4 linked regions of the Elephas maximus indicus genome follow. The protein of the gene in region 2 purifies or fractionates together with the protein of the main gene of each other region. This does not show direct contact. Links are inferred from orthologs where the notes say so. Each region holds a gene or a part of one and is shown on either strand. Other genes may lie near its edges. The genes, in order: EXOC8, EXOC3, EXOC6 and EXOC7.

Region 1 (8,023 bases), on a different chromosome or scaffold from region 2:
GGCCAGGGCCCGACTACAGAACAGATCATCAATTGCTCATATGCAAGTTCAGGTTGAAAATGATGAAAATTAGAACTCATACGACCTTGAGTATAACCCCCCGAACTTGGAGAACACCTCACAAATAGATTTGACGTGTTGAACCAGTAACCACTGAAGACCAGACAAGTTGTGGAATGACATCAAGGACATCACACATGAAGAAAGCGAGATGGTTAAAAAGACAGGAAATAAAGACAAGACCAAAATGGATGCCAGAAGACTCTGAAACTTGCTCTTGAGCATCAAGCAGCTAAAGCAAAAGGAAGAATTGATGAAGTAAAAGAAAGGAAGATTTCAAAGGGCAGCTTGAGAAGACAAAGTATAGTATTATATCAACACGTGCAAAGAGCTGGTGATAGAAAACCAAAAGGGGAGAACACGCTCAGCATTTCTCAAGCTGAAAAAACGGAAGAAAAAATTCAAGCCTCGAGTTGCAACAGTGAAGGATTCTATAGGGAAAATATTAAACAACGCAAGAAGCATCAAAAGAAGATGGAAAGAATATACAGAGTCATTATACTAAAAAAAACAAAAAACTGGTTGACATTCAACCATTTCAAGAGGTAGCATATGATCAGGAACCGATGGGACTGAAGAAAGAAGTCCAAGCTGCTCTGAAGGAAGGTACTGGCAAAAAACAAGGCTCCAGAAATTGACAGAAAGTCAGCTGAGATGTTTCAACAAATGAATGCAGCGCTGGAAGTGCTCACTTGTTTATGCCAAGAAATTTGGAAGACAGCTACCTTGCCAACTGACTGGAAGAGATCCATACTTATGCCTAGTCCCAAGAAAGGTGATCCAAATGAATGCAGAAATTATCAAACAATATCATTAATATCACATGCAAACAAAATTTTGCTGAAGATCATTCAGAAGTGGCTGCAGCAGAATATCAACAGGAAGTGCCAGAAATTCAGGCCGGATTCAGAAGAGGATGTGGAACCAGGCATATCATTGCTGATGTCAGATGGATCCTGGCTGAAAGCAGAGAATACCAGAAGGATGTTTACCTGTGTTTTATTGACTATGCAAAGGCACTTGACTGTGTGGATCATAACAAATTACGGATAACACTGCGAAGAATGGGAATTCCAGGACACTTAATTGTGCTCACGAGGAACCTGTGCACAGATCAAGAGGCATTTGTTCAAAAAGAACAAGCAGACGCTACATGGTTTAAAGTCAGGAAAGGCGTACGTCAGGGTTGTATCCTTTCACCATACCTATCAATCTATATGCTAGGCAAATCATCCGAGATGCTGGACTATATGAAGAATGCGGCATCAGAACTGGAGGAAGACCCATTAACAACCTGCATTACACAGATGACACAACCTTGCCTGCTGAAAGTGAGAAGCACTTACTAATGAAGATCAAAGACCACAGCCTTCAGTATGGATTATACCTCAACCTAAAGAAAACAAAAATCCTCACAACTGGACCAATAAGCCATATCATGGTAAATGGAAAAAAAGACTGAAGTTGTTAAGAATTTCATTTCACGTGTTTCCACAAGCAACAACCACGGAAGCAGCTGTCAAGAAATCAAGACACGCTGCAGTGGGCAAATCTGCTGCAAAGGACCTCTTTAAAGTGTTGAAAAGCAAAGACGTCACCTTGAAGACTAAGGCGCGCCTGACCAAAGCCATGGTATTTTCAATTGCATCATATGCATGGGAAACTTGGACAATGAATAAGGAAGACCAAAGAAGAACTGCCTTTGAATTGTGGTGCTGGCGAAGAATATTGAATATACCATGGACTGCCAGTAGAATGAATAAATCTGTCTTGGAAGAAGTACAACCCAAATGCTCCTTAGAAACAAGGATGGCAGGATTACGTCTTACATACTTTGGAAGTGTTAGCAAGAGGGATTGGTCCCTGGAGAAGGACATCATGCTTGGTAAAGTGTAGGGTCAGCAAAAAACAGGAAGACCCTCAACGAGATGGACTGACGTGGTGGCTATAACAATAGGCTCAAACTTAACAATGATTATGGGCGCAGTGCAGGACCAGGCAGTCTTTCATTCTATAGTACATAGGATCGCTATGAGTCGGAACTGACTCAATAGCACCTAACCACAACATTTTTGTTTCAATTTAACCCATCTTGAAAATGGTACATGGCACTATATTGGACGTCTGTTTTTTATATATGTACCATTTTCCACATTTAAGCCAGATGCAAGACTCTACACAACACATTGCCAATACACCTCTTTTTTTCACTACTACTCTGTATCTGGCCAAAAGCAACTACTCAGCACATAAAATAAGACTAAATGAGCATACCAACCCAGGGGTAAGGATGAGAAAGCAGGAGGGGACAGGAAAACTAGTAATGGGGAACTCAAGGTCAAGAACGGAAGAGTGTTGATATGTCATGAGGTTGGCAACCAATGTCACACACTGATATTGTGCATTGTTTAATGAGAAACTAATTTGCTCTGCAAACCTTCATCTAAAGTGCTATAACAAAAAAGCAACTACTCCTGGTAGGGAAGAAGTCACAAGTTCTGCGCATGAAGTGTGCCCTCAAGCTGGTTTTTGCTGCCAGCTCAGCTAGGTGCCCTGGAAGGGAAGCAGTGTGGAAGTAGGATAGAGGAGAAACAAAATTTGCATGGGAAAACTTGGATCCTAAGTTCTTCTCTGCTTCTAAATTATATATCTTAAACCACTTACTGATCCTCTATGAACCATAATTTTCTCGTTTATAGAAATGAGGATCACAGCACACACTGAACATCAACAGGGTCGTGGTAAAAATCAAATGCAATAATATACCTTAAAGTCATTCATCTATGATGCACTATAAAAATAAAAGGTAATCATTAATTGTCCCACACTCAAAATTTGTACAGAGGAAAAACAATTTTAAAAAAAATGTACAGATTAATTCACAGAAGTCTAAACCAATGGTAAGCGTTTCTAAATTACTGAGCTAAAAATCAGGTTTGTGCAAAAAATACCTCTACGAGATCCTTTCTTGGTCTTAACTTTAAAAGGGGTTCACTGAGTCGGATGGAACACATTCCACCCCTCCCTTCATAGCTGCATATCCCAGCACACCTGCAAAACAAAAACCACAAAAATGTGTGACCATTACCAGTTATACATTAAGAGAGAAATACAGATAACTCAGCAAATCCTGATACACTCTTGGGCGGTTCACACTAAGAGAACTCTCTTGATAGATGGTTTTCTTGAAAGTTATCTCCTCTGAGTTATATTTGCCTTTCACCCCAGTTAGGGAGATAAGCGAGCAGTAGCGGCTTCCCTTACCCATCAGGCTGCAACAGCTCAAAGCTAACCCTGTTCTCCTACTCCTAGTCTCTGCACAAGCTATAATCAGTTTGTGGCACTAACAGGCAGGTACGTGTTCTAGCAGCACATCTCCAAAATTATAACAGAAGCTTATATGAGGGAGATTTGCACTTTAAAAACACTTTTAATGTATCTTAACTTGTCTGACACTAGGTTGTTTCGTAATTCAGAAACAAGCATGATGGTATACAACTGCACCCTAAACTTGATAAGCCCTCTCATGTCTGAGAGTAGGTTATTATTTCAAATCCGAATTTCTTAAACTTAAAGAGTGTAGAAAAGAAATCTTTAATAAGTATCATTAAAGATCCCTTGGGTCCAGAAATATGGAAAAGTCCTCCTTCCACAGTCCAACACACTAAGTGGTGCCATGTCAATGAGTATAGAGGAAGACAACACATTCTTTGGCGATTTCTTCCCGGCATTTTTCTTAGGGGCAGACGCTGGTGCTCCTCCTTCTTGGGTCCTAAAGCACTAAACTGAAAAACCATCAAATCCGTTGCCGTCGAGGGGATTCTGACTCACAGAGACCCTATAGAACAGGACAGAACTGTCCCCACTGGGTTTCCAAGACCTTAATCTTTATGGGAGCAGACTGCCACATCTTTCTCCCGCGGAGCACCCGGTGGGTTTGAACCAAAGACCTATCGGTTAGCGGTGGTGTCCTTTTACCACTTCGCCACCAGGGCTCTTTTAGCATAAGATTAGTTAAGCTTTATCTATCCATTCTCTAACGACCTAATGTGTAGCAAAAAAAAAAAAAAGGCACCACCACAGGACAAATCGGAAATGTGTCCATTTCTTCTCAACTGAGTTGAGAGTCAAGGTCCTGTGCTCTCACTGTGTCCCTATCCCTCAAGCGTGTGGGCCCCGCAGCTTTCCTAAAGCTGTCAGGGCAGGTGGAAGAGGAGGCCCACCCGGCCGGGACTCACAGGGTCATTCGCACGCTCCATTTCACCTCCACAGCCTCCAGCTGGCCCCAAAAGAACCGGTCGTTGAACTGCACGAAGAGGGCCTGCAGGTCCGGGGTGGGGTCCACCAGCTCCCAGGACGCGTCCACCAGCGACAGGGGTTCCTGGGCGCGGTCGAATCGCGCGGCCTCCAAGTCCCACTCCTCCTGCAGCTGCAAGGCCAAAACCAGGTCTTCGTCCATGGCGCCGGGTTGTGTGGCCCCCCAGCTGCTCCCCGGCGGCTCCTAGGAGATACCGGCTTCCAGCAGCTATCGCGAGAAGGCGGAATACCGGCTTCAGAACGAGCACGAAAGCTGACCTTCCCCAAGACGCCGAAGCCAAGATTCGAGGGCTAACGAAAATCCGCACCTCTTAGTTGGCGCAGAATTCAGTTCCCCAGGTTTGGCCGAGAAGTCGCCGGGAGCTGATACCGCCCCTACAGTTTCAAACACCAGACACCAGCCTCCATCCATGCGCAGAGCCTGCACGACTGCCTCCACCCTCACTCACTTCCGCGAAAGCGCTTAGGGGCGCATGCGCCCTAAGCAGCTGACGCTTCGGCGCAGGCGTACTCGCTAGCGCGGCTCCTTGCGCAAGCGCAGTGCCCGACTCTCAGACCCGAGCGCAGGCGCGTTCACCTCGCTTCGTCCTGCTTCTTCAGCCTGGAACTCATTCCGGCTGGGTGGGTCTCGGCAGCGGCAGCTGTACTGACAGTGACTGCCCGCGAGCCGGACGGAAATGGCGATGTCGATGTCGGACAGCGGGGCGAGCCGTCTGAGGCGGCAGCTGGAGTCGGGCGGCTTCGAGGCTCGGCTGTACGTGAAACAGCTCTCTCAGCAGTCGGACGGGGATCGGGACCTCCAGGAGCACCGGCAGCGCATCCAGGCGCTGGCGGAGGAGACGGCGCAGAACCTGAAGCGCAACGTGTACCAGAACTACCGGCAGTTCATAGAGACGGCCCGCGAGATCTCCTATTTGGAGAGCGAGATGTATCAGCTCAGCCATCTGCTTACCGAACAGAAGAGCAGCCTGGAGAGCATCCCACTCACCCTGCTTCCTGCCGCCGCCGCCGCCGGAGCCGCCGCGGCCTCTGGTGGGGAGGAGGGGGGAGGTGGGGCGGGGGGCCGAGACCACCTCAGAGGCCAGGTCGGCTTTTTCCCCACCCCTGGGGGCGCCTCCCGCGACAGTTCAGGTCCGGGTGAGGAGGGAAAGCAGCGCACCCTCACCACCCTTCTTGAGAAGGTGGAAGGCTGCCGGCACCTGCTAGAGACGCCGGGACAGTACCTGGTGTACAACGGGGACCTGGTGGAGTACGAGGCGGACCACATGGCCCAGCTACAGCGGGTGCATGGTTTTCTTATGAACGACTGTTTGCTGGTGGCCACCTGGCTGCCACAGCGGCGGGGAATGTATCGCTACAACGCTCTCTACCCCCTAGATGGCTTGGCCGTGGTCAATGTCAAGGACAACCCACCCATGAAGGACATGTTCAAGCTGCTCATGTTCCCGGAGAGCCGCATTTTTCAGGCGGAAAATGCAAAAATCAAACGGGAGTGGCTGGAAGTGCTGGAAGAAACCAAGAGGGCCCTTAGTGAGAAAAGACGAAGGGAGCAGGAGGAGGCAGCAGCCCCCCGAGGGCCGCCCCAAGTGCCTTCCAAGGCCAGTAACCCATTCGAGGATGAAGAAGAAGAAGAAGAGGTTGTTCCTGAGGTGGAGGAAGAGAAAGTGGACCTCTCAATGGAATGGATCCAGGAGTTACCAGAAGACCTGGATGTCTGTATTGCTCAGAGGGATTTTGAAGGGGCCGTGGACCTGCTGGATAAGTTGAACCATTATCTAGAAAATAAGCCCAGTCCACCTCCTGTGAAAGAATTAAGGGCCAAAGTGGATGAGCGTGTTCGCCAGCTCACTGAGGTATTAGTTTTTGAACTCTCTCCAGATCGTTCCCTGAGAGGCGGTCCCAAGGCTACTCGCAGAGCAGTTTCTCAGCTCATCCGATTGGGCCAGTGCACTAAGGCTTGTGAGCTGTTTTTGAGAAACAGGGCAGCCGCTGTGCATACTGCAATAAGACAGCTTCGCATTGAGGGTGCCACCTTACTGTATATTCATAAGCTGTGTCATGTCTTCTTTACCAGTCTTCTAGAGACTGCAAGGGAATTTGAGACAGATTTCGCAGGCACTGACAGTGGCTGCTATTCTGCCTTTGTGGTCTGGGCGCGATCAGCCATGGGCATGTTTGTGAATGCTTTTAGCAAGCAGGTGTTTGATAGTAAAGAGAGCCTCTCTACAGCAGCAGAGTGTGTAAAGGTGGCCAAGGAGCATTGTCAGCAGCTGGGAGATATTGGATTGGATCTCACCTTCATCATCCATGCCCTTCTGGTGAAAGACATCCAGGGGGCCTTGCACAGTTACAAGGAAATCATAATTGAAGCCACTAAGCATCGCAATTCTGAGGAGATGTGGAGGAGGATGAACTTGATGACTCCAGAGGCTCTGGGTAAACTCAAAGAAGAGATGAAGAGTTGCGGGGTGAGTAATTTTGAGCAGTACACAGGGGATGACTGCTGGGTGAACCTCAGCTACACTGTGGTTGCTTTCACCAAACAGACCATGGGCTTCTTGGAAGAGGCCCTGAAGCTGTATTTCCCAGAGCTGCACATGGTGCTTTTGGAGAGCCTGATGGAGATCATTTTGGTTGCTGTCCAGCATGTGGATTATAGTCTGAGGTGTGAGCAGGACCCAGAGAAGAAGGCCTTTATTAGACAGAATGCATCCTTTCTCTATGAAACAGTCCTCCCTGTGGTGGAGAACAGGTTTGAAGAAGGTGTGGGGAAACCTGCCAAGCAACTCCAAGACCTGAGGAACGCATCCAGGCTCATTCGTGTGAATCCCGAGAGTACAACATCAGTGGTCTGATGCATGGATCAATTTATATATAGATACATATATATTGCTTATATATTATTTATATTAAGTTACATTAGCGTGTTTTTTATAGTCTCAAACACAGCTTAAAATTAAATGATGCCCTCACAGGTGGAAATGCAAAATCAAAAGGAGAAAGAAAAAATACTAAATTAAGCCAAAATAACAAAAATGATGGAATTATTAAAATACACTTTCCTTTTAAATGATGTTAATTCTCTAATGAATATGTGGTCACATTATAGTATTTCAGCTTATCCTTTGAGTCAAAGCACACTTTCTCGCAGTATATATTATACAGCACAGAGAAATAATGTCTATAAATGCAGAGAGTATAAATATGTGGTGAAAAATGTCCCAGTTCACTAAAATGTTAGTTTTCTTCAAGTACTTAAAGGGTATGATACTGTATAAAACGCCCTGTCTCATATATTTCACCACCTTAAAATGTGGTGGGACAATTTGGGGAAAAGAAAGGTGTTGGAAAATTGGTTTTAGGGTATATTATAGTCAAAAGAATTCTTTCTTTAAACTAGTGTGTGGACTCAGATACTCTGGTCTTTATAGAATACAAGAGAAAGCTTTCATAAACATATTTTTAAAACATAATTTGATTATTTTCAGCTGCTGATTAAAGAGCAGCTCTATAATCTCAAGGACTGTGATAAAGCAATTTTTTCAGTGTATTCCTGAATTGTGTAAATTTTCAGCTGGAGTTTTTGTCGTATTAAAAAATAATAAAAAACAAGACACATTGAGGAACCTGGCAGGAGTGATTGTAG
Region 2 (7,232 bases):
CACCACCTCAGGACTCCTCACCACCTCAGGACTCCTCAGTGAGGACAGGCACACACAGTACCGCACACTGCCACCACCCCGGGGCCTCAGTGAGGGCACGTACACATGGCAACTCACACCGCCACCACCCTGGGGCCTCAAGAGGTCACGCACACATGGTACCACACACTGCCACCACCCCAGGGCCTCGGTGAGGACAGGCACACACGGTACCGCACACTGCCACCACCCGGGGCTCTCAGTGAGGGCACGCACACAAGGTACCACACGCTGCCACCACCCCAGGGCCTCGGTGAGGACACGAACACATGGTACCTCACACTACCACCACCCCGGGGCCTCAGAGAGGGCACGCACACATGGTACTGCACACTGCCACCACCCCGGGGCCTCGGTGAGGACAGGCACACACGGTACCGCACACTGCCACCACCCCAGGGCCTCGGTGAGGACAGGCACACACGGTACCGCACACTGCCACCACCCGGGGCCTCGGTGAGGACAGGCACACACAGTACCGCATACTGCCACCACCCTGGGGCCTCGGTGAGGACAGGCACACACGGTACCACAACTGCCACCACCCGGGGCCTCGGTGAGGACAGGCACACACGGTACCATAACTGCCACCACCCGGGGCCTCGCTGAGGACAGGCACACACGGTACCACACACTGCCACCACCCCAGGGCCTCGGTGAGGACAGGCACACACGGTACCGCACACTGCCACCACCCCGGGGCCTCGGTGAGGACAGGCACACACGGTACCGCACACTGCCACCACCCCAGGGCCTCGGTGAGGACAGGCACACACGGTACCGCACACTGCCACCACCCGGGGCTCTCAGTGAGGGCACGCACACAAGGTACCACACACTGCCACCACCCCAGGGCCTCGGTGAGGACACGAACACATGGTACCTCACACTACCACCACCCCAGGGCCTCAGAGAGGGCACGCACACATGGTACTGCACACTGCCACCACCCCGGGGCCTCGGTGAGGACAGGCACACACGGTACCGCACACTGCCACCACCCCAGGGCCTCGGTGAGGACAGGCACACACGGTACCGCACACTGCCACCACCCGGGGCCTCGGTGAGGACAGGCACACACAGTACCGCATACTGCCACCACCCCGGGGCCTCGGTGAGGACAGGCACACACGGTACCACAACTGCCACCACCCGGGGCCTCGGTGAGGACAGGCACACACGGTACCATAACTGCCACCACCCGGGGCCTCGCTGAGGACAGGCACACACGGTACCACACACTGCCACCACCCCAGGGCCTCGGTGAGGACAGGCACACACGGTACCGCACACTGCCACCACCCCGGGGCCTCGGTGAGGACAGGCACACACGGTACCGCACACTGCCACCACCCCAGGGCCTCGGTGAGGACAGGCACACACGGTACCGCACACTGCCACCACCCGGGGCTCTCAGTGAGGGCACGCACACAAGGTACCACACACTGCCACCACCCCAGGGCCTCGGTGAGGACACGAACACATGGTACCTCACACTACCACCACCCCAGGGCCTCAGAGAGGGCACGCACACATGGTACTGCACACTGCCACCACCCCGGGGCCTCGGTGAGGACAGGCACACACGGTACCGCATACTGCCACCACCCCAGGGCCTCGGTGAGGACAGGCACACACGGTACCGCACACTGCCACCACCCGGGGCCTCGGTGAGGACAGGCACACACGGTACCACACACTGCCACCACCCTGGGGCCTCAGTGAGGGCACGTACACACAGTACGGCACACTGCCACCACCCCGGGGCCTCAGTGAGGGCATGTACACACGGTACCGCACACTGCCACCACCCTGGGGCCTCAGTGAGGGCACGTACACACGGTACCGCACACTGCCACCACCCCGGGGCCTCAGTGAGGGCACGTACACCCGGTACCGCACACTGCCACCACCCCGGGGCCTCAGTGAGGGCATGTACAGACGGTACCGCACACTGCCACCACCCCGGGGCCTCAGTGAGGGCATGTACACGTGGTACCGCACACTGCCACCACCCGGGGCCTCGGTGAGGACACGCACACACGGTACCACACACTGCCACCACCCGGGGCCTCGGTGAGGACACGCACACACGGTACCACAACTGCCACCATCCGGGGCCTCGGTGAGGACAGGCACACACGGTACCACACACTGCCACCACCCCGGGGCCTCGGTGAGGGCACGTACACACGGTACCGCACACTGCCACCACCCCGGGGCCTCAGTGAGGGCATGTACACACGGTACCGCACACTGCCACCACCCCGGGGCCTCAGTGAGGGCATGTACACACGGTACCGCACACTGCCACCACCCCGGGGCCTCAGTGAGGGCACGTACACACGGTACCGCACACTGCCACCATCCCGGGGCCTCAGTGAGGGCACATACACATGGTACCGCACACTGCCACCATCCGGGGCCTCGGTGAGGGCATGTACACCCGGTACCACACACTGCCACCACCCCGGGGCCTCAGTGAGGGCATGTACACACGGTACCGCACACTGCCACCACCCCGGGGCCTCAGTGAGGGCATGTACACATGGTACTGCACACTGCCACCATCCGGGGCCTTGGTGAGGACACGCACACACGGTACCTCACACTGCCACCACCCCGGGGCCTCGGTGAGGGCATGTACACATGGTACTGCACACTGCCACCATCCGGGGCCTTGGTGAGGACACGCACACACGGTACCTCACACTGCCACCATCCCGGGGCCTCGGTGAGGACAGGCACACACGCCACCGCACGCTGCCACCACCCCGGGGCCCCTCAGTGGGATTTCAGCCCACAAGGCAGAAAGGGAACTCTGAAATCACAGACGAGGAGGTGCGGGTCTAGTGCCACACCTCGTGCTTGTCAAACCGCCCTTCCCGAGCGCAGCGGCGCAAACACCTGAGGCGTCCACCTGGCGGACATCCTTCCGGGCCCCGCCGGCCCCGCCCCGCCCCGCACAACCGCCCGGCCTGTCCCGCCCGGCTCCACCGCGGCCTCCTCCTCCGCGAGTCGGGCCGGAGCCGAGCGGACCGAGGACCGAGGCGCGTCGGTGGGGTCCGGCCCAGGCGACACCACCAGCCGCCCAAGCCCCTCCTTGCGCCCCCGTCGCCCCCGCGTCTCACCGTCCTCCGGTCGTCGCCTCCCTGCCAGCAGCGAGCAGTGCGGGGAACTTCCGCTTCCGGCGACGCGGCCGGAAGGGCCTGAGGAGGGCAGTCCTCGCAGGGGTGCGGCGTCCAGCCCGCAGAGGCGCTGTACGGGCTGGGTGAGCGTCGGGACCGGAGACCGCAGCCCCATAGGCCGCTCCTCAGTGAAAGGGTGGAGCAGAAAAAAAAAAAAAGCCCTTAACAAAGCGAAACGAAAACAACTTTGCCCAGGTACTGGGAGATGACCAGAAAGCTCCCTGGCCCTGTCTGAATCCTGGGGGTGAGAAATCCCCCAACCCCAGAACTCATAGCTATGATTCTGCCTTCGCTTGGACTTAATAATTCAAATCTTAAAAACTTGTTGGTCCAGAAACTCTCCAGTCTAGAGATTATAACTAGAAGTCATCCTTTGGCAGAAGCAAACTCAGGAACATTTCCAGAGAGACACTCCTCAACCTTGACAGGAGGAAACATAAGAGCTTTCCTAGAGGAGCACAGAGGAGCTCTGGTGGTGCAATGATTATGCACTCGGCTGCTAAAGTCAGAGGTCTGAACCCACCAGCATCTCTGTGAGAAAAAAGACCTGGCGATCTGCTCCTATAAAGATTACAGCCTTGGAAACCTTGGGGAGCAGTTCTACTGTGTCATATATGGTTGCTTTGTGTCAGAATCAACTTGGTGGCACACAGTGACAACAATACTTGAAACTTGCCCTCACCGAAGAAACTTTATCCCAATAAAAAATTATAAAACACACATGGGAATAATCCACTTTGAGTGAGAGTCAGCCAACACTTAAAAAAGCAGGAGTAGACCCCCCACAAAACAGGAGAGAATGGGCTAGAAGACGTATCTGAGGAAATTGTCCAGAATGCAGCATTATAAAGAACTGAGAAATATGAACAGTTAAAAGGCATTGGGTCTAGAGGGGACGGTTCAACATCTTCTTAACAAGAGTCCAGAGGGTAGAATTGAGAGGATGGGAAGAAGCACTAGAGAGTTTCATCACAGTGATAAGGCTGCACATTTTCTAGATTTGATGAAAGATACGAAACTTAAGATTCAAGAAGCACACCATCTCCTAACATTATATCAAAGACAAAGCAAAAATCTTAAAAAAACCTAGCATCTACAAAGGAATGATAATTAGAATGACAGCAGTCTTCTCAACAGCATTCATAGGACTGAGGGGAAACCACTGTCAGCGTCCTCAGCTTTGAGAACATGCCCCCAGCTCCCACCTCCAGGTCTCCTGCTGCTGAGACTGTTTGTTCATGTCCTGGCTCATATGTCACCTTCCCAGTCTCGCTTTGCATTGAACGCCCTGTAAAACCACTCTCCAGTAATGATGGAGATGCGATGGCATGAGTGCCAGTGGGAATGACAGGTTGCTCCACTTATTTGTATTCCACTGGTCCCCTTCTAATGCATTATAGAACTTACATAGTTGTTTTGGTCACTGTTAATTGCCTACCCACCTTCACCCACCCACCCCACACACACACCCATGAGGATGTCAGCTCTGGAACTGCACTGATTTCCGCTTCCCTTGTTCCCTAAGATGTCCCCAGCACTGTCACATAGCCTGCCACTCAGCTGGAACTAAACAAATACTAATATTGTTGAATGAACGAATGATGAATTAATGAAATGCATATGACACAACTACCTACCATTTCTGCCCCTCAGAAGACCAAAATTAAAATGTTAATACCCTGTATTGGTGACATGTGAGTAAACAAGAGCCCTTTTGGGGCTGTAGGATGACAACCTGGTACAACCACTTTAGAGGACGGTTAGGCAGCATGTATGGGCCATTGCCGTGTCTTGGTGTACACCCAGAACCCAGCATAGGGACCCAGCAGGGTGGGCGGTCATGTTCAGGCTGCGCTGAGTGGGTACAGAAGATTTGGAAACTGCCCACATGTCCATCAGCAGGAGCGTGGATAAAGGGGTCCAGTCCTGTGGAACACTACACCACAGATGCATGCATTCCTGTATCAACATGGATGAGTCTATAAAGAGCATGGAAAAGAATCCTGAAAACTAGCACCACTCCGCTTATATGAGCTACAGAGCAGTGTGCATCGCCATAGATGGAGATGTAGTAAAGGTATGACAGCAGGAGGGAATGGCGCAGCTTCAGGACCACTTCTTCTGGGGAGGGAGAGATGGGATGGAGACCAGTGGCTCTGAGTGTACCTGTAGTGTTAATTCCTTAAGGAATGTGTATCCAAAATGTTAGCTTTGTTAAATCTGACTACTGGACCTCTGCTTACTATGCTCTTTACTTCCATGTTTAAAATAATAAAGAAAAAGTGATGGCCCTGAGCCGGAAGCCAAGACTGGAGTGAGGCCAACTGGCCTGAGCCAGGATAGGCAGGAGGCCAGGAGGGCTGCCCTCTGGTGGGCAGGGACCCAGCCCTTTACGGGGAAATAAGCCACACAACACTCCAAATCTTGTCTGAGGGATGAGAAGTCAGGCCTGCTGGTCTTTCACTGTGGGGTCCAGGTTCACACTGTGGGGGTGTGGGCAGAAAGGCTGACCTGGCCCGGGGTGGGGGCTGCTCCCTCCATTTGCAGCCTGGTCAGCCAGGCAGAGGAAGCTCAAAGCCCCTGCCCTGTGCGTTTCTTTTGTGAGTGTCCTGTGTTCCTGGGCTGTCATTCCCTCCCCTACAGGGTCCTGTTTCTAATCCTGTCTGCACAGCACAGACCCCCACTGTGTGGTTGATGGAGGAAGATGAGAGGAGGGAGGGGTAAGAAGGAGGAAGTTATGTGGAGGGTGTAAGGGGAGGACTGTGAGGGGAGGAGCAGGGTAGGTAGAGAGGGAAGGGGAAGCAGTGGGGGGAGGGCCTGAGGGCCCTGAGCAAATGTGCGGTGTAGGCTGAAGTAGGCTTGGGAAGGTGAGCACCTCCGTTGGACCCAGCAGGGTGCAGGCAGTAAAGGAGCAGGTCGGCCCCCACAGTCTGGTCTTGCCTGGGCAGGTCTAGCTTGGGCAGGTCTCAGGAGGCTCAGAGCAGGCCAGGTCGCCATGGGGATGCGTGTGCTGTGGCATGTAGGGTGGACGCAGAGGACCCAGCAGGGCTTAGCTTGCCACTGGCAGGGGCACATCTAGATTCTGTACAGGGTCCTGGAACTTGTTCAGTTTAGGGCATTCTCTGAATAGGCCTTGGAAGGCATCTCCTCTCAAGGGGCCTGAAGTTGTGGCTGTGCCTGGGGCTTGAAGTCCGAGGCCTCCTGCCCCCTGCCCCCTTCACCACGAAGGCCCCTTGCCCAGGTGCTCAGAGAGCAGGTAAGGCTGACCCCAGGTGCCCCACCAAGATGGAATCCAGGGTCCTCATTGCGTCCTCAGTTCTGCCTTCTCTTTACCCTCACGGGGCAGGGCACTCCCTGACCTTCAGTGATGGGTCTGGGGAAGAGCTGGGGGCAGTGGGGAGAGGAGGTCTCTGAGTCAGCCCCCTGAGGAGATAGTACTGCTGGTGTGGCAGCAGGGACGGCCCAGGCTGTCCTTCCTCCTCAGGGGACTCTTTGTTGTTAGGTGCCATCAAGTCGGGTTCAACTCACAGCGACCCTATGTACAACAGAACAAAAGCCAGGCTCTTGGTTCAGGCATATTTGTGTTATTGCTGTCTATCTAGTACTAAAGATCTGAGTTAGGATGAAAATTAACCACACACACTAAAGGAAATAAAGTCACTTCATTTGGAAAATCATTCAGACATTTTCATTCATGGTAAACATGTATTAAACATTTTATATTGATATAAAAAATTTAATATGAACTGAAGTATCAGAAATATATTTGAAAGCTTTTTCTGAAGGCACAGAGAAAACAGTACAAAAAATGACATTATAGTGCACCAGTTTTAAAAATTCAGCCAAGTCAGTCTAAATATTGAAAACTTTTTTCCAGTAAAAACTGCAAAAATATGTTTCTGTCCTCTCATCCCATTCCCATGTATTTGATTTTAATAATTTTTCAGCTATATAGTGAAAAGTTACAAACAATAGGAATAAGAACCTCTAATTAATACTCATGGT
Region 3 (7,691 bases), on a different chromosome or scaffold from region 2:
GGAAAAAATAATAAAATAGTAACATAAGCCTACAGGCCAGGTAAAACATTAGGAAATAGCAACAAAAAATAACATCGGTAGGACAAACGGATGTCTGGAATCTGCTTCAAGATCATCCAGGATGAGAAAGAGTGGATGGGGAAAAGACCAAACAAGATTGGCCAGGAGCTAGATGATGGGTTCACATTTAAATTCTCCATAATAAAGGATTTTGAAAAATATAATATTTGCATTTTACTTGATGAAATTAGAAAAAAATAGGGGGAAATAGGAGTAGCTCAAACACTGGTCAAGAGAAAGGACTACTAGCAGTGCCTTTTATGTAGGCAAACAAAGAGTCTGCTTATATGTGAGAGGTGTCCCATCCCATTGCCGTTGAGTTGATTCCTACTCTGCTTATACATGAGAGGTGTCCCATCCCATTGCCGTTGAGTTGATTCCTGTGGTATAGAACAGAACTATCCCATAATGTTTCCAAGGAGCAGCTGGTATTTTGAAACTGCCAACCTTATGGTCAGCAGCCGAGCTCTTATCTACTGCGCTACCAGGGCTCCACATGAGAGATGACCAGTGTATATATAGTCACTGCAGTGTGCTAAACAGTGGGTTTCAACAGAGTAAGCAGGTGACACAACTGTCTGGCAAAAGAGAACTGGATGATAACACTGAACACATATACAGTTGGTTCTTATTATTCACAGCAGTCATGTTCTATAAAGTCACGCTGCACACTGAACTAGTGTATGCTGAACCACTGCTCCTAGGGGAAACAGAGGGTTGGGTTTCTTTGAGCCTCTGGTCACAACGTTTTTGTTAACATTACCACAATACCTTGTTTTATGTGTTTCTGTTTAAAGTCACTTCCTTTAATATATATTGTTGACTGGTTAACGTTGAACTCATGGTCAACACCACTATAACTCACAACTGAATGACGATTATCTAACATACTTAACGTACATATTTTCTCCTTAAGGTACATGACAGCATTCTTATGCTTAGAACACTAGACAGTACTTCAGCACTATGCTTGGAGGCCATTTTAAACAGCAAAATCAGCAACAAAGTGCACAAAAATGTAAGAAAAAAATGGCACTAAATAGATCGCAAAAAGGACACTTGCTGACAGTCTGAGAGCTGAAACAAGAAGGCAGAGCACTGCCTTGTCTGACCTCAGCTGAAAACATGTATATAAGGTGACTCAAATTTTTTGTCACTCTGCACATGACTGTGAAAGCACACTAAGCATTAATTTTGGAGTTACAAATAAACTCGAGTGAGTACGCAAATTCACAAATACGAATTCACAAATAATGTAGATCAACTGTAATGTTTGTGTCCCAATAGTCTCTCGATCTATTTCAAAATTTTCAGATCAACTGTATTGTTTGTGTCCCAAAAGCCTCTCAATCTATTTCAAAATTTCCTTCCATGTTAATTTTATCTCTTTTTCCCAAGATGAAGCATTTCCTTCTCAAGCAACACTACTTTCAAAAATGGACTTCTCTTATAACTATACCACATCCTGTATTGTTTCAGTCTCGCCATGCAGTAAGAAGGACAAAACATCCTTTTAATCCATGATTTCTACTTTCATTACCAAAATAGTTTTATGAAAAGAAGTAATTACCTTGGAAATTTAAGGAAATGCACTAATTATCGTTCACAGCAGGAACTTCATACGACAAAAATTTATCACATGCCTAACACATGCTTGGTGTTAGGGATACAGAAGTGAACAAATAGACAAGGTCCCTACTGTCCCAAGTTTTTAGGCACCAAAACTCCATCTCCCCATTCTGCAAATAAAGTAACCCAGGTCCAGCGAAGTTAAATTATTTTTACCCATGACTGCACACCTCATCAGTGGCAAGACAAGGGCAAAGCAAAAACACAGGACTCCTGACTCTCAGGGAAAGGTAAATTTACAATGTAACTACATCCACAGGTCCACAAATCATATGTTGCTCCATTCCTAGGAAGTGTATTCTGAAGAAAATACTAATGATAAAGCAAAATCTGCCCAAAGTTCCCTGACCAAATGAATCGTAATTTCATTCATCATCATCACTGCTAAACATAAAACCTTAAATTCCCTGGGTGGAGCTAGTGTAAGCACTCTGCCCTAACAGAAAGGCTGACAGTTCTAATTCACCTGGAACCCACTAGAGGTGCCTCAGAAGAAAGATGTGGTGATCTGCTTCTCAAAGGTTACAGCCATGAAAACCCTATGGAGCAGCTCTACTGTGCAATACATGGAGTCGCCATGAGTCAGAATCCACTGGACAGAAACTGGTTTTTATTCTTGAAGAGAGTCCCTAACCTAATCTAATGGATCTGTACATTCTCTGGATAATATTCTTTTAGGACAGCAGGTATTCAAGCTGGCACAGAATATCGATTACCTAGTACTGTATTCTTAAGGGGGTGGTTTAGGGTCCTTTTTAAAATAAACAGAAAAACTGATGCAAAATTAACGAAACGCTCGTGAATAAGTGAAAGCTTTCTCCCCAGAGGCACGCTCTGTGAGCACACAGTTAACACCAGCGTGTTTCTGAGCCTCAGCTCCTTCCCGCCAGCCCACGCTCCCTTCTCGCCCACTCAGGGCCGTGCGCCGGGATAATGGTGCTGGAGTCTCCCGCTTAACTTCCATTCCCCCACGCCCGTGGCAGCCCATCGCGCCAGGGTTTTCTTCCGCGCGCGCCTCGGCACTTCGGTCACGCCGGCTGCCGGCAGGTAACCTTCGCCCCGGTCACTCCCGCTGTCAGCCACCTTAGCCGCCCTGCAGACGCGGAGCGGGCCAGGCCTGAGGCGGGTCCTGGGGACCCCGGGCCGGGGCCGGCGGGCGAACGCGGGGCAGCGCCGCCGCGCCTCCGGGGGTCAGAAGGGCCAAGGCAGCCACACCCACTGGCTGCGCGGTGACAGCTCCCGCGGCTGAGGAGGTCCGCGCCGCCACCACGCGGACAGGTGCAGCCGCCCACACCCGCCCGGGCCCTAGTCCGCCGCCCCGGCAGCGCCCCCGCGCGCACCACCTGTCGGGCCGCCCAACGCGCGGCTGGCGGTGAGCGCCCCGCCCAGCTGCTGAAGAGCTGCCGGCGGGGGCAGCCCGAAGCCCGGGGGCATGAGAGCTTTACCGGAGAGTGGGCCCCACGCAGGCAGTGTCTGTGCTTTCGATCTCCTGCAAGATCCGCTCGTGCTCCGGGATGGTGCCCAGACCCTCAGCGCTCTCCGCCATCTTGGCCGGACGCTAAGGAGCCGGCGAGGCGCGGCGCCGCGCGGACGCGGGGGCGAGCGGCATGTGTCGCGAGCGCGGAGGGGGCGGGGAAAGGGGCGGGGATAGGGTGGGGTGCGAGGGGCGGTGGGGCGGGGATAGGGTGGGGTGCGAGGGGCGGTGGTGCGGGGGCGCGGGGAGCGGAGGGCGTAGGGGCACCCGGGCGCGAAGAGTGCGGCGGCGCGGGGGCGTTTCGGCGCCGGCACCTTCGAGAAGTCAAGGTGCTGCCAGCGTTTGGGAGTTGAGACTCGCTGAGGTCGCCGTGCGGCTTCACCTCCCCCCCCTCCCCCACGACTTACTCCTAGTTGTCACCTAGTGACAAACCTTTTGGCTTTAACATATATTTTTGTGTTCCTGAACCTCTGCTACGCGCTGGAGATACAGCAGTAATGAGGAAGGTGGGCAATCAAGTAATCATCGCCAAATAATATGTAATAAAAGCTATGAGAACGTTTAACAACGGGCTTAACATACTCTGGAAAACTCTATTGGGCAGTTTTACTCTATCACATGGGGTCGCTACGACTCGAAAATGGGGAGTCGGAGAAAGGCGGACATGCACTCAAGAAAAGCAAAATTGTGTGTTGTAAGGTTTATCTTAGGAATGAACCAATAAGTCGGTGACCTTGACAACCCGCTCTGGATGGATTCATATCCGTACTCTCAGGAAGTTCATGAGGGGCCAGTCAACTTGGAAGTGAGTTATAACCGCTAGAAAAATTAAATGGCAAGAAACTAAGACACCATGGGAAAGATACAAGAGACCCAGGGGCTGATGTGTGATTTCAAGCCAAAGTCCTTGAACCCAAGTGCCCCTGGGTCGCTGTGGGCTGGGGTGAGGAGGGATGGGGAGCTCTCCGGAGGAGGTGGACATCAGACCTGTGGGAAACAGAGGTGAAGTGGTTTGGGCAAGGGTACCAGTGTAGAAAAGGGTCTTGTTTAATGACATGTTTGTAGGACTCTGGGTAAACCAGTTTGTCATGATCAAAGCACTGACTGAGGAAGATTAATCAGGAACAGGATGCAAACCTAGCCTGAGGGGCAACTACTCTCAGGTCTCCATTAACCCAGGGCTCTGAACTTCCTTTTGAGTCAACCAACCTCTTTACTATCCCTCTCTATAACTCACTCCCTTCAGTGAACTTTTACTTGAAGCTTACCTCCATTCTCCCCCCTGCCCAAAATCCTGGAAGGTATGGAGGCCATATATTGTATAATAGTTAAGAGCCTGAGCTCTGAAGACAGATGTCCTCAACTTAATTCCTGGCTCCTTCAGCTGTATGACCTAATTCCACCATGTTTCAGTTCACCCATTGTAAATGGTAATAATAGTTTTAGTGTCTACCTTGTATTATTGTCCCGTTTGTATTAGTTTTCTATTGCTGCTAAAAAAAATTACTGCGAATTTACTAGCTTAAAAAAAAAAACAAACACATTTAGTGTCCAACATGAGTCTCACTAGGCAGGACTGTGTTCTTTTTTGGAAGTTCTAGGGAAGATTTTGGAAACTCTGGTGGCGTAGTGGTTAAGTGCTATGGCTGCTAACCTAACGGTCAGCAGTTCAAATCCACAAGGTGCTCCTTGGAAACTATGGGGCAGTTCTACTCTGTCCTATAGGGCCACTGTGAGTCGGAATTGACTCAATGGCAACGGGTTTTAGGGGAGATTTATTTCCTTGTCTTTCCCAGCTACCCACACTTCTTGGCTCATAGCTCCTTTCCTCCATTTTCGAAGTCAGCAACATTGCGTCTTTCTAACCATTCTTCTGTAGTCACATCTCCCTTTGGCTCTGACCTCAGCCAGGAAAGGTTCTCTGCTTTTAAGAAATCATCTGATTAGGTTGAACCCATCCACATAATCCGGGATAATGTATGTCAAAGTCCTTAACCGTAATCATATCTGCAGAGTCCCTTGTGCCATGTAAGAATACATTTACAGGTTCCAGAGATTAGGACATGGACCTCTTTAGGGAGCCATTATTCTACCTCTCATACTTAGTATGGGCCCAATAAGTGTTGAGAATATGCAGAAACAAAGCCTCTACCCAAATTCACCAGTATTGTCACACACCATGTTAAGGTCCTTGAGTTCAAAGATGACTTTTTTTAGATTTTGTAACTTCCTGTACTTCTTCACAGAGTTCTGCACATAGCTGAGAGAAAGCTGGAGGAGTTTTGAAACAAAACAATGCTGCCGCCCTCAAGCCACCAGAAAGAATTCAGGACGAGTTAGAAAGGAGTCTTCCGAACAGGTCTGAACATAAGGTAGGAGTTTGGTTAATCTGTGATTGGTAACAATTAGGAATTAGAACAATATCAAACCATAAAAAATTAGTTTCTTCAAACTTGTTGTTTATATATTGACATTAAATAAAATGTTCTCTAATGTGGCTGTAATCAGTTGCCTTAATAGAAGCACCAACAGAGAATGTTACTTCAGATTCCCCGATGCCCACTTTTATCAAGAGCTTCAATGCAAAAAACAATATAAACTTTTGCCAGAAGATAAGTTCATCTAGTCCTCTGGTTATTTAAGGTTTTATCCCTGGATCAAGCCACATCTGTATACCTAGATCACAGTGTTTTGGATTCTTGTACAACTGTTTTTTATGGAGTTGTAAAAAAATTGAATTTTAATAGATGGTGGTGATGGTTCTACAACATGGTGAATATAATTAATGTCACTGAATTGTACACATTAAAAATGGTTGAAATGGCAAATGTTTTGTTATATATATTTTACGACAGTAAAAAAATTGGAATTTTTCCTTAGTTGACTGCCTCTCCAATTACTGAGCCGCTCCCACCTGGTATTGTTGTTGTTATTAGCCACCATCAAGTTGACCCTGACTCATGGTGACCCCATGTGTTACAGAAGTGCTCCATAGCATTTTCTTGGCTGTAGTCTTTATGGGAATAGTTCACCCGGCCTTGTCTTCCACAGAGCCACTGAGTGAATTAGAACCACTAACTTTTGGGTTAGAAGCTGATCACAAGCTGTTTGTACTGCCCAGACATCCTAGTTGAAGGCTCAGCTTTGAGAGAGGATAAGAAACCTTTTGAAAATTGAACCTGAGACTTATGGAATTAGGCCAAGTTCCATACCCTTCTACAAAGATAATAAAAAGAATAAAAAGCCAGTTCTCTATTGGCAGACTAGCTGAGCTCAGTCAATGTGCATGGCCAGAACTCATTGTTTTGTAAAGGAAGGTGAGGAGAGCCGGGCATGGTGCAGGACAGTTTTCTATTGGCAGCTGCCTCCTGCTGGGACATTCCTCTCCTATATTCATTACCCAGACCTGTTCCCCTTCTCTTCACCAATTCTAACACCAGCTATCCAAACCCATCTTCAAATCCTCCCACCCCGTACACCCACTCTGGTAATCTACCCCTGCTCAGGCACTCTTCATTCCAGGCCTATTTCAACACCTGCCCATAAAGATTACCTCAACACCTGCCCATAAAGATTGCTTCAACATAAGCACAACTCAAGTCAAGATGGAAGGAAGTCTATTCACCACTTCTGCCTTCTGCAACAGCTTTTGCTGGTTCGTTCCCTCCGTGACTTCTGACAGCTGCATTAGTACCTGAAGGTTTTTGCTAAGAAAGCAGAGTGGTCCTAAATAAATAGCTGTGTAGATTTTAATCATGAATATAGATGTGACATATAAATATGTAAAAGTGCTCCCAAAAAGCCTATTCTAAAGTGATGCATTTCTAAAAGGCTCTCAAATAAAGAATCTCAGCTATAGGCCAAAATAAAAATCATATTGCTATTTACTGAGCACTGACTATTTGCAAAGCCCTTTATATTATCTAACTTTATCTTTACTACAGTCCTTCGAGGTACTTTTATCATTCCCAATTTAATTTGAAGAAATTAAAATTAAGAGAGTTTCACACTTTGGAAATCAATTTGGTGCTTCCTTAAAAAGCTAGAAATAGAAGTTCCATATGATATCGCAATCCCACGCCTTGGAATACATCCTAGAGAAATAAGAGCCATCACACAAATAGATGTATGTACACCCATGTTCATTGCAGCGCTGTTCACAAAAGCAAAGAGATGAAAACAACCTGGGTGCCCCTCAACAGGCAAATGAATAGAAAAATTATGATATATTCACACAATGGAATATTACACAATGATAAAGAACAATGATAAGTCTGTGAAATATCTCATAATATGAATGAATCTAGAAGGCATTATGCTGAGTGAAATTAGGCACGAAAGGGCAAATATTGTATGAGACCACTATTATAAGAACTCAAGAAAAGGTTTAAACAGAAGAAAACATTCTTTGATGGTTACAAGGGTGGGGAAGGAGAGAGAGGGGTATGCACTAACTAGATAGTAGACAAGAATTATCTTAGGTGAAGGGAAGAACAACATGCAATACAGGGGAAATCAGCACAAGTGG
Region 4 (8,411 bases), on a different chromosome or scaffold from region 2:
TGAGGGTATATGACAGTGATTGCGTGTGAGTATGTGTGTATATATGACAGTGAGTGTGTGTGTGAGAGTATGTGTGGGAGAAAGCATGTGTGTGTGTGTGTGAGGGTATATGACAGTGATTGCGTGTGAGTGTGTGTGTATATATGACAGTGAGTGTGTGGGGCGTGTGTGTGTCAGCATGTGTGAGTGAACGTGTGAGAATTTGTGTGGGTGTGGGTGGGTAAGTGTGTGTGGGTTAGAGGTGGGGATCTGAAAGCTGAGAGCTGGGAAAGGGGACAAGCAGTGACCCCCTGGTCCCGAGAGGCTCCCTGCCCCTGGAGATGCCCCACAGTGGTGAGGAATCATCTACCTTGTGTCACCTGGGCCTCCCAGCCAGCTTCCTGCCTGGCCTGAACCATTCCAGCTCCAGCCCAGGAACCAGAAGCAAGCCCCTGTCCTCCTCCAAGCTGGGCCGATGAGAGCGCGTTTAAAAAGTTAAAGGAAAAATTTCCCTCAGGTGTTGGTCACCCTCCAAGTCCAGACATTGGAGAGCTTTTGGCCTGGGAGCTGGTGTCAGAATAGGCGGTCAGTGGCCAGGGTTTTCCAGTGTCCTGAGGCAAAGGTTAACCAGGCCCAGGGACAGCAAAGGGGCTGTGGCACATGGGCAGCTAGAAGCAGAATAATGGCTGGGTGTCACCTCAACTCAATTGGTCACCTCTCCGTCCACCTTGACTTGGGTTCTCATCCACCTTAGTGTCTAAAAGGCCCCAAGTCAGACTAAGGGCTCCAGTATCTCCCTATGAGTCTGCCTGAGGTGTTCACTGTCCTGATTTGTAACTCCAGGGACACCATTTGCCAGGTGAGACTGTGGCCCTGGAATGTTCCAGCTGATCCCAGGAGGACCATTCTGACTTTTTTGTGTGAGCCAGCCTGCAAGAGCATGCAACATCACGACTGAGGAAATGGAGCATCTGCTTTCCAGGCTTAGCTCTGGCACTTTCTAGACATGTCTCTGTGCCTCAGTTTCCCTGTAAGGACAACAATGCTACCCCATAAGATTGTTGTGCAGTTTACTGGAGAAAACCATTGTAAAGGCTCAGCGAGGTGCCAGGTACGTGCTGATACTCAGATGCCACTGGCTCTGTATACACATACCCCAGGCTTTCCTCCTGAGTGGTAAAATGTGGGGAATGTCACTCCCGTGTCCCCTCAGCCAGTGCCTTATGGCCTGTGTTCTTTTAATAAGCCATCCAGCGCTCGGCACGCACTGCCTGGTGATTATGGTTTCCTTGACCTTCAAGAATGATCCCATGGGCAGCTCGGGATGCTATCAGGGGCTCAGGACTGTCTTGGGGCAGGTGAGGTGAGGACTCCAAAGGTTCTGGATAAGTTAACTGTTTGGAATCAAAACACAGTTCTAAGCAATAGGCTTCCAAATTCACTGCACAGTCTGTTTACTTCGTAATATACTTGAACTCCAGCTGGAAAGACCATGAGGGCCAGGCAGGTGCTGGCTAACATTTCTTGAGCACCTACTATGTGCCAGGCCCTTTATGTAGGTTATGTCACTTAATTTACCTGAAATCCTTTAAGGTGGGGTCTTTTGGAACACTCGGTGTTTTAGTTATCTGGTGCTGCTATAACAGACATACAACGAGTAGGTGGCTTTAACAAAGAGAAATTTATTCTCTCACAGTCCAGGAGGCTAGAAACCCAAATTCAGGGTGCCAGCTCCAGGGGAACGCTTTTTCCCTCTGTCAGCTCTGGGGAAAGATACTTGTCATCAGTCTTCCCCTGGTCTAGGAGCTTCTCAGTGCAGGGACCCTGGGTCCAAAAAACGCACTCCTCTTCAGGTTCTTTCTTGGTGGTATGAGGTCCCCCTGTCTCTTTGGTGGAGTCTCTCCTTTATATCTCAAAAGAGATTGATCCAAGATACAACCTAATCTTGTAGATTGAGTTCTCCCTCACCAATATAACTGCTGCTAACCCTACTTCATTAGCATCATAGAGTTAGGATTTGCAACACATAAGACAAACACATCAGGTGACAAAATGGTGGACAATCACATAATACTGGGAATCATGGCCTAGCCAATTGACACACATTTTTGGGGGACACAGTTCAATCCATAACACGTGGTCTATTATTCAAAGAGGCCCTCCCTTGGCTGAAGTCACACAACTAGTAGGTAGCAGGCCTTTGGTCAGTGGAGGCCTATCTGACCTCATACCTCAACTGTTTCTCTTTCACTCTATGCCTTCCATGGCACTAGAACTAGGCATCACGTGACATACTCCCATGGGAACATATATCCACGGTTCCTAACCTCAAAGCCAGAATCCCGTTGGCCTCACAGACCTCTCCTGGGACCTACCCTGAATAAGATGAGAAGTGGGGATGGGAGGCAGGGGATGCTGGTCCCTGGTAGAGAGGGGCAGGAAGGGACGCAGAGTCTTCTCAGCCACATCTTTTGGTATGGGTATTTCTGCTGGTCCTGACGCTGTTGCTGTGATCCTCAATTTAGAGAGAGTTCACCCTTGTCCACTTGGTGATTACCTCAGAAAGCACACCCCAACCTCCTTCCCGTCGTGCCCTCACTCTCGACGTGTATCCATGAGTTCACCTCTCCCCTTTGGTCCTCCTCCCATGCCCCTGCTCCTCCCTCACACTTATGGCCTTGACCCTCATGCACTCATTAGTTTATTTGTTCATCACAGACATATCGGACACCCGCTCTGGGTTGGGCCAAGGGAGCTGGGGAGACAGGCTTTAGGAGGCGGGCTGACATCTTCTGTTTGCTCAAGGTGACGCCATCAGCTGTGCTGACCTGACTTGTCTCTTGCTTGTGTATGAGTCCTTTCTTGGAAACCAAGAGCAGTCAACTGCGATGACAAGTGGCCCCATGGCTGCCTTTGATCTGCCCTCATTCGGGCTCCCCCAACCACTCCTCTGCTCCACCTCTTGTCTGTGAGATTCAGGAATTGGCCCTTCTTCCTGGCAGAGGCCCCTCTCCCTGCTTCCATCACTCAACTGGGCATGGTGCCCCAAGTGACATCCCAGCCTCTCTGAGGACCTAAAGAATACACTGCCTTCCTGCTTTCCTGCTGGCCTGCCGTCCATTCTCTGTTCCACCTCCCCACCTACCTGTGAGCTAGCAGTGGGGGGCTTGGCTATGATTGGCACCTATGTGTTCTGCACAAGCTTATGGATGAAGTCAAAGGCTTCTGAGGCTGCAGCTGCAGTTTGCTCCTTTTGCTAAAGCAGCTTGTGCTGAAGATAGTTGGGGAATTATAGCTTTTATGGAATCAATGTCTGCTTATCAACACACGTTTTCATTGGGTTGAGAATAATTTAAACTCATCTTGCCATTCTGTCAGGTCCTTGGTTGGCCCAGAATTTGTGCTCGACTAATAACTGAAAGGTTGGCAGTTTGAACCCACCCAGCAGTGTTGTGGAAGAAAGCCTGGCGATCTGCTTCTGTCAAAATTATAGCCAAGAAAACTCCATGAAGTATAGTTCTACTCTGTAACACATGGAGCCACCATGAGTTGGAATCGATTTGATGGCAACAGGTTTGGTTGTTTTGGTTTTCATTTTGTCTACCTTTTAGTTCATGTGGTTGTCATAAATATAACCTGCTTTTCACAGTAGATTTTCTTAAAAACCAGATTGGCAGCTTTTCATGATCACAAATGAGACTCTTGAGCTATTCAGCATGGTGAGGTAGAGGAACACAGCCAGGGCTTTACCTGCTCTGGCTGGCCAGGTGGACTTTGTACAGCTTACATCTCCAAGCCTGAGCTTCCTCATCTGCACAAGGAAGACAAGAGTGGCACCAGACTCACAGGTTTATTATGAGGATTAGATAACACTAGGACAGTTATCTGTATCAGAGGCGGGCAAACAGAAGGCTCTCAGTAAATGGTAGTTGGCTACCAAATTATATACTTGGACTTTGAAGGAAATTGAGACTACAGAAAATCACACACATACGTAGTTTATTTACAAAAATGCAATAGCATTGTACAAACTTTAAAATGTTTGCTCGCAATCAGAGAGGATACCCTTCCTCAAACCTAGAAAGCAAGATGTTATTTTTCTTGAGCATCTACCATGGGTTAGTGCTGTTCAGAGGCTCAGAGAGGTTAAGTGCTAGGGTGCTAACTGAAAGGTTGGAGTTCAAACCCACAAGCCACTCCAGGGGAGAAAGATTTACAGCCTTGGAAACTCTATGGGACAGTTTTACTCTGTTCTATAGGGTCACTATGGGTCATCAGAGTCGACTGGAAGGCAACAGGTTTGGTTTTTTTGGTTTGGAGCTCTGAAGAGGGGGTCCTGTCAGCCTCCCAAGCCCATCTGATTTCCCCAGAGCTCCTGTGAGCCATGCTCCCTGCCCGTCTAAACACCTGCAGGCAGGCCTCTCTCTCCCTAGCTGGTAACAGTGCGCTTGCCCTGCAATCCCTCAAGCAGGCTTGGGGCCTTTCAGCCTTCCTCTTGCTGCTCTCCTAGACCTATGAGTTGGAGTCAACTCGGCGGAAATGAGTACGGTTTATTTTTTTGGAAGTAGGCTCTATCAGAAGTAATTCTCTACCACCAGGGTGGTCCACACACCCTGCAAATAAAATAGCTCTCTCCAAACCAGGCACCTAGGTGCGGCTTGGGGAGCATGCTCCGAGGCCCCAGGATGGATGCCCCAAGGACTCTGCCACCCCAGGTACCTGGCTGGGCCGTGCACAAGTTAGGACTGTGCTCAGGACCCGCTCAAGGGGAAACGACTACACCCCCAGGTTCATTAAATGCGCATGCAGGCGTCTATTGTGTGACACGCTCTGTGCTGTGCTCTGTAGGGAACGCAACGTCGGCGCCTCGACCCTGAATGCAATTGGGGAAGCGAATTCGTCGCCTTCCCAACGGTCTCTGTCAAAACGGTCGGTCTTCTCGCAAGGCCGGCAAGTGACCTGTAACTGTCCTGACAGCCGCAGGTAGCGTAACACAGTTCCGGAACCTTCTCTACCGAGGCAGGAATCCGCACCGACGGGAAACTGCAGTGCGCCAGGCACGCCAAACTTTCCACCCACACTCGCGATGGCCACTTGCTCTGCTGGGCCCCGGGAGGCGCACTTCCGCCTGCCACTCCCAACATGGCAACCAGCGCTCCCAGGGGCGGGGCCAAAAACGGAAGTGGGTGTGGTAGGGACGGGAGCCGAGCGGGACCGCTGGGACCCCATCCTGGGGCTTGGGGTCCGCAGGGTTTGGAGAGATGATCCCCCCGCAGGAGGCCTCCGCCCGGCGGCGGGAGATCGAGGACAAGTTGAAGCAGGTGAGGTTGGGGCTGGGCATAGCGGGGGAAGGGGTGAGGGAAAGGGGCCGAGATTGGGGCCCGGGCATCTACTCCCCGAGGAGGCAAGTGGGAGGGGGCACTCCTAGCGAGGAAATGGGGTCGGGGCGGGGGTCGAGACAGGGGCCGCAGACGCGCTGATCTTCTTTAGTCTCTGGCTCCTGGTCATGTCCTTCCCTCCGCTTCCCCCAGGAAGAGGAGACGCTGTCCTTCATCAGAGACAGCCTGGAGAAAAGCGACCAGCTCACCAAGAATATGGTGAGTTACTCCTCAGCTGGGAGAGGCAGATGGGGCTCCTACCCTACAGGAGAGCGATGCGACCCTGCGCTCCCTGGGCACCCAAGGCCTGGGGTTTTGGCATGGGTGGCGATGGTTGGACCGTGTGGAGTTCTCTGGCAGTAACATGGCATCTAACTTACCTAGCCCCCGTCCCCATGTTCTAACCCGTGTGGAGGATCCTGCAGTCCCCGCTAGTCTGGACTTTCTAAAGCTCTCTGTCCAGGCTTTCCATTTTCCCTTCTCTCCTTCAGCAAACATTTAGTGAGACGGACTAGGTGGGCTAGTCACTGGTCATATGCCACCTCCAACTCAAGTGACAGAAAGTCCCTTATAGGGATGGCATTTTGAGATTACTTAGGCCAGAGAAGACACAGCTTTCACTCCAGAGGACATTAGGGGTAGAAGGAGCTTTGAAGTTGGACAGATCTGGGATCTAGCCCCTGCCCTGCCGCTTACCGGTGTGATTCTACACAGGTAAATCTGCACCTCAGTTAACTTGTGTCTTAGTCTTCTAGTGCTGTTGTGACAGAAATACTACAAGTGGGTGGCTTTAAAGAGCATAAAATTATTTCCTCACACTTTAGGAGGCTAGTCCAAAATTAGGGCACCAGCTATAGGGGAAGGCTCTCTTTGAGCTCTCAGGGAAGATCCTTGTCTCAGACTTTTTTCTTTCTTGGCAATCTTTGCATGGCATCTATCTTTCCCCGTTTGTGCTTGTTTGTCTCTGTGTCTGTGCTCCTGCTTATAACTCAGGCAATTAGGTTTAGGACAAACCCTACATTGATATGACTTAGATAACATAACAAAGACAACCCTATTTCCATATGGGATTACACCCATAGGTATAGAGGTTAGGGTTCCAACACATATCAGGAGGACACAGTTCAATTTCTAACAGCTTGTTTGCTAAAGCAGAGACAGTGCCAGCCTCTCAGTGTGGCGTGAAGGGTGTATGAGCTAATGCATGGGAGCACATCTTGCGCAGTGCCTGGTATACAACAGGTGCTCAATAAATACTAGTTTCCGTCTTTATTCCTAGGTGAGACTGCTGTTGTTAGGTACCATTAAGTCGGTTCCGACTCATAGCGACCCCATGTACAGCAGAATGAAACACTGCCCTGTCCTGCACCATCCTCACAATCGTTTTTTTGCCTTGACCCCATTGTTGCAGCCACTGTGTCAATCCATCTGGTTCAGGGTCTTACTCTTTTTCGCTGACTCTTTACCAAGCATGATATCCTTCTCCAGGGACTGGTCCCTCCTGATAACATGTCGGAAGTATGTAAGATGAAGTCTTACCATCCTTCCTTCTAATGAGCCTTCTGGCTGTACTTCTTCTGAGACAGATTTGTTCGGTCTTCTGGCAGTCCAAGGTATATTTAATATTCTTCACCAATACCATAATTTAAAGGCATCAATTCTTTTTTAGTCCCCCTTATTAATTGTCCAGATTTCACATGCATATGAGGCAATTGAAAACACCATGGCTTCTGTCAGGCACACCTTAGTCCTTAAAGTGACATCTTTGCTTTTTAATACTTGAAAGAGATCTTTTGCAGCACATTTGCCCGATGCAATACATCGTTTGATTTCTTGACTGCTGCTTCCAAGGGCGTTGATTGTGGATCCAAGTAAAATAAAATCTCTTACAACTTCAATGTTTTCTCTGTTTATTATGATGTTGTTTATTGGTCCACTTGTGAGGATTTTGTTTTCTTTATGTTGAGGCGTAATCCATACCGAAGACTGTGGTCTTTGACTTTCATCAGTAAGTACTTCAAGTCCTCTTCACTTTTATCAAGCAAGGTTGTGTCATCTGCGTATCACAGTTTGTTAATGAATCTTTCTCCAGTTCTGATGCCATGTTCTTCATATTGTCCAGCTTCTCGGATTATTTGCTCAGTGAACAGATCGAATAGGTATGGTGAAAGGATACAACCCTGATGCACACCTTTCCTGTCTTTAAACCGCATAGTATCTACTTGTTCTGTTTGAATGACTGCCTCTTGATGTATGTACAGGCTCCTCATGAGCACAAATAAGTGTTCTGGAATTCCCATTCTTCATAATGTTATCCATAATATGTTAGGATCCACACAATCGAATGCCTTTGCATAGTCGGTAAAACGCAGGTAATCATCTTTTTGGTATTCTCTGCTTTCAGACAGGATCCATCTGACATCAGCAATGATATCCCTTGATATTCCATCACCAATGAGATTCCACACCCTCTTCTGAATCTAGCTTGAATTTTTGGCAGTTCCCTATCGATGTACTGCTTTTGAATGATCTTCAGCAAAATTTTACTTACGTGTGGTATTAATGATATTGTTCGATAATTTCTGCGTTCTTTTGGATCATCTTTCTTTGGAATGGGTACAAATATGGGTCTCTTCCAGTTGGTTGGCAAGGCAGCTGTTTTCCAAATTTCTTAGCACAGACAACTGAACACTTCTAGTGCTGCATCCAATCGTTGAGGCATCTCAATTGGTATTCCGTGAATTCTTAGGTAAGACTGGACAGGAGCAATTTGAGTAGATGTAGACTCGGCATTTGTATTCAACAATAAAACAAGTCAGAATCAACTCCAGAGCAGCAGGTTTGGTTCTTTGGTTTTTAGTCCTTATTTAATGAGATTTACTCTCAAAGAGTGAGGGTTTCGAAGATGCCAGCCATGCATTTGAGATTACTCTGAATGAAAAGCTTTCCCGATCGGTCTAAGAAAGGTTCAGAGAGAACAGAAATTGAGATTTGGCTTCAAAGGGTGAAAGGGAAGCCATCCTGGGATGATTGTCTTAGCAGAAGTTAATTTGA

What was found.
Region 1: the proteins of EXOC3 (region 2) and EXOC8 purify together in Homo sapiens (affinity purification with mass spectrometry; 5 studies listed by BioGRID and IntAct, counting the BioPlex papers as one, with this or other methods). This does not show direct contact. The link is inferred for Elephas maximus indicus from reciprocal best matches to the Homo sapiens genes EXOC3 and EXOC8.
Region 3: the proteins of EXOC3 (region 2) and EXOC6 purify together in Homo sapiens (affinity purification with mass spectrometry; 6 studies listed by BioGRID and IntAct, counting the BioPlex papers as one, with this or other methods). This does not show direct contact. The link is inferred for Elephas maximus indicus from reciprocal best matches to the Homo sapiens genes EXOC3 and EXOC6.
Region 4: the proteins of EXOC3 (region 2) and EXOC7 purify together in Homo sapiens (affinity purification with mass spectrometry; 5 studies listed by BioGRID and IntAct, counting the BioPlex papers as one, with this or other methods). This does not show direct contact. The link is inferred for Elephas maximus indicus from reciprocal best matches to the Homo sapiens genes EXOC3 and EXOC7.

Annotation. Positions count from the first base shown.
Region 1 is NC_064842.1:33,312,863-33,320,885, forward strand, and holds the start of EXOC8 (exocyst complex component 8), read left to right. Parts: upstream 1-4,928; 5' UTR 4,929-5,054; coding exon 5,055-7,232; 3' UTR 7,233-8,023. Other genes in the region: DNA-dependent metalloprotease SPRTN, read right to left, coding at 3,012-3,111, 4,299-4,519. UniProt on the Homo sapiens protein: Component of the exocyst complex involved in the docking of exocytic vesicles with fusion sites on the plasma membrane.
Region 2 is NC_064820.1:480,761-487,992, reverse strand, and holds the start of EXOC3 (exocyst complex component 3), read right to left. Parts: upstream 3,250-7,232; 5' UTR 3,171-3,249; intron 1-3,170. UniProt on the Homo sapiens protein: Component of the exocyst complex involved in the docking of exocytic vesicles with fusion sites on the plasma membrane.
Region 3 is NC_064834.1:44,080,242-44,087,932, reverse strand, and holds the start of EXOC6 (exocyst complex component 6), read right to left. Parts: upstream 3,297-7,691; 5' UTR 3,236-3,296; coding exon 3,135-3,235; intron 1-3,134. UniProt on the Homo sapiens protein: Component of the exocyst complex involved in the docking of exocytic vesicles with fusion sites on the plasma membrane.
Region 4 is NC_064837.1:66,346,530-66,354,940, reverse strand, and holds the start of EXOC7 (exocyst complex component 7), read left to right. Parts: upstream 1-5,168; 5' UTR 5,169-5,240; coding exon 5,241-5,300; intron 5,301-5,510; coding exon 5,511-5,576; intron 5,577-8,411. UniProt on the Homo sapiens protein: Component of the exocyst complex involved in the docking of exocytic vesicles with fusion sites on the plasma membrane.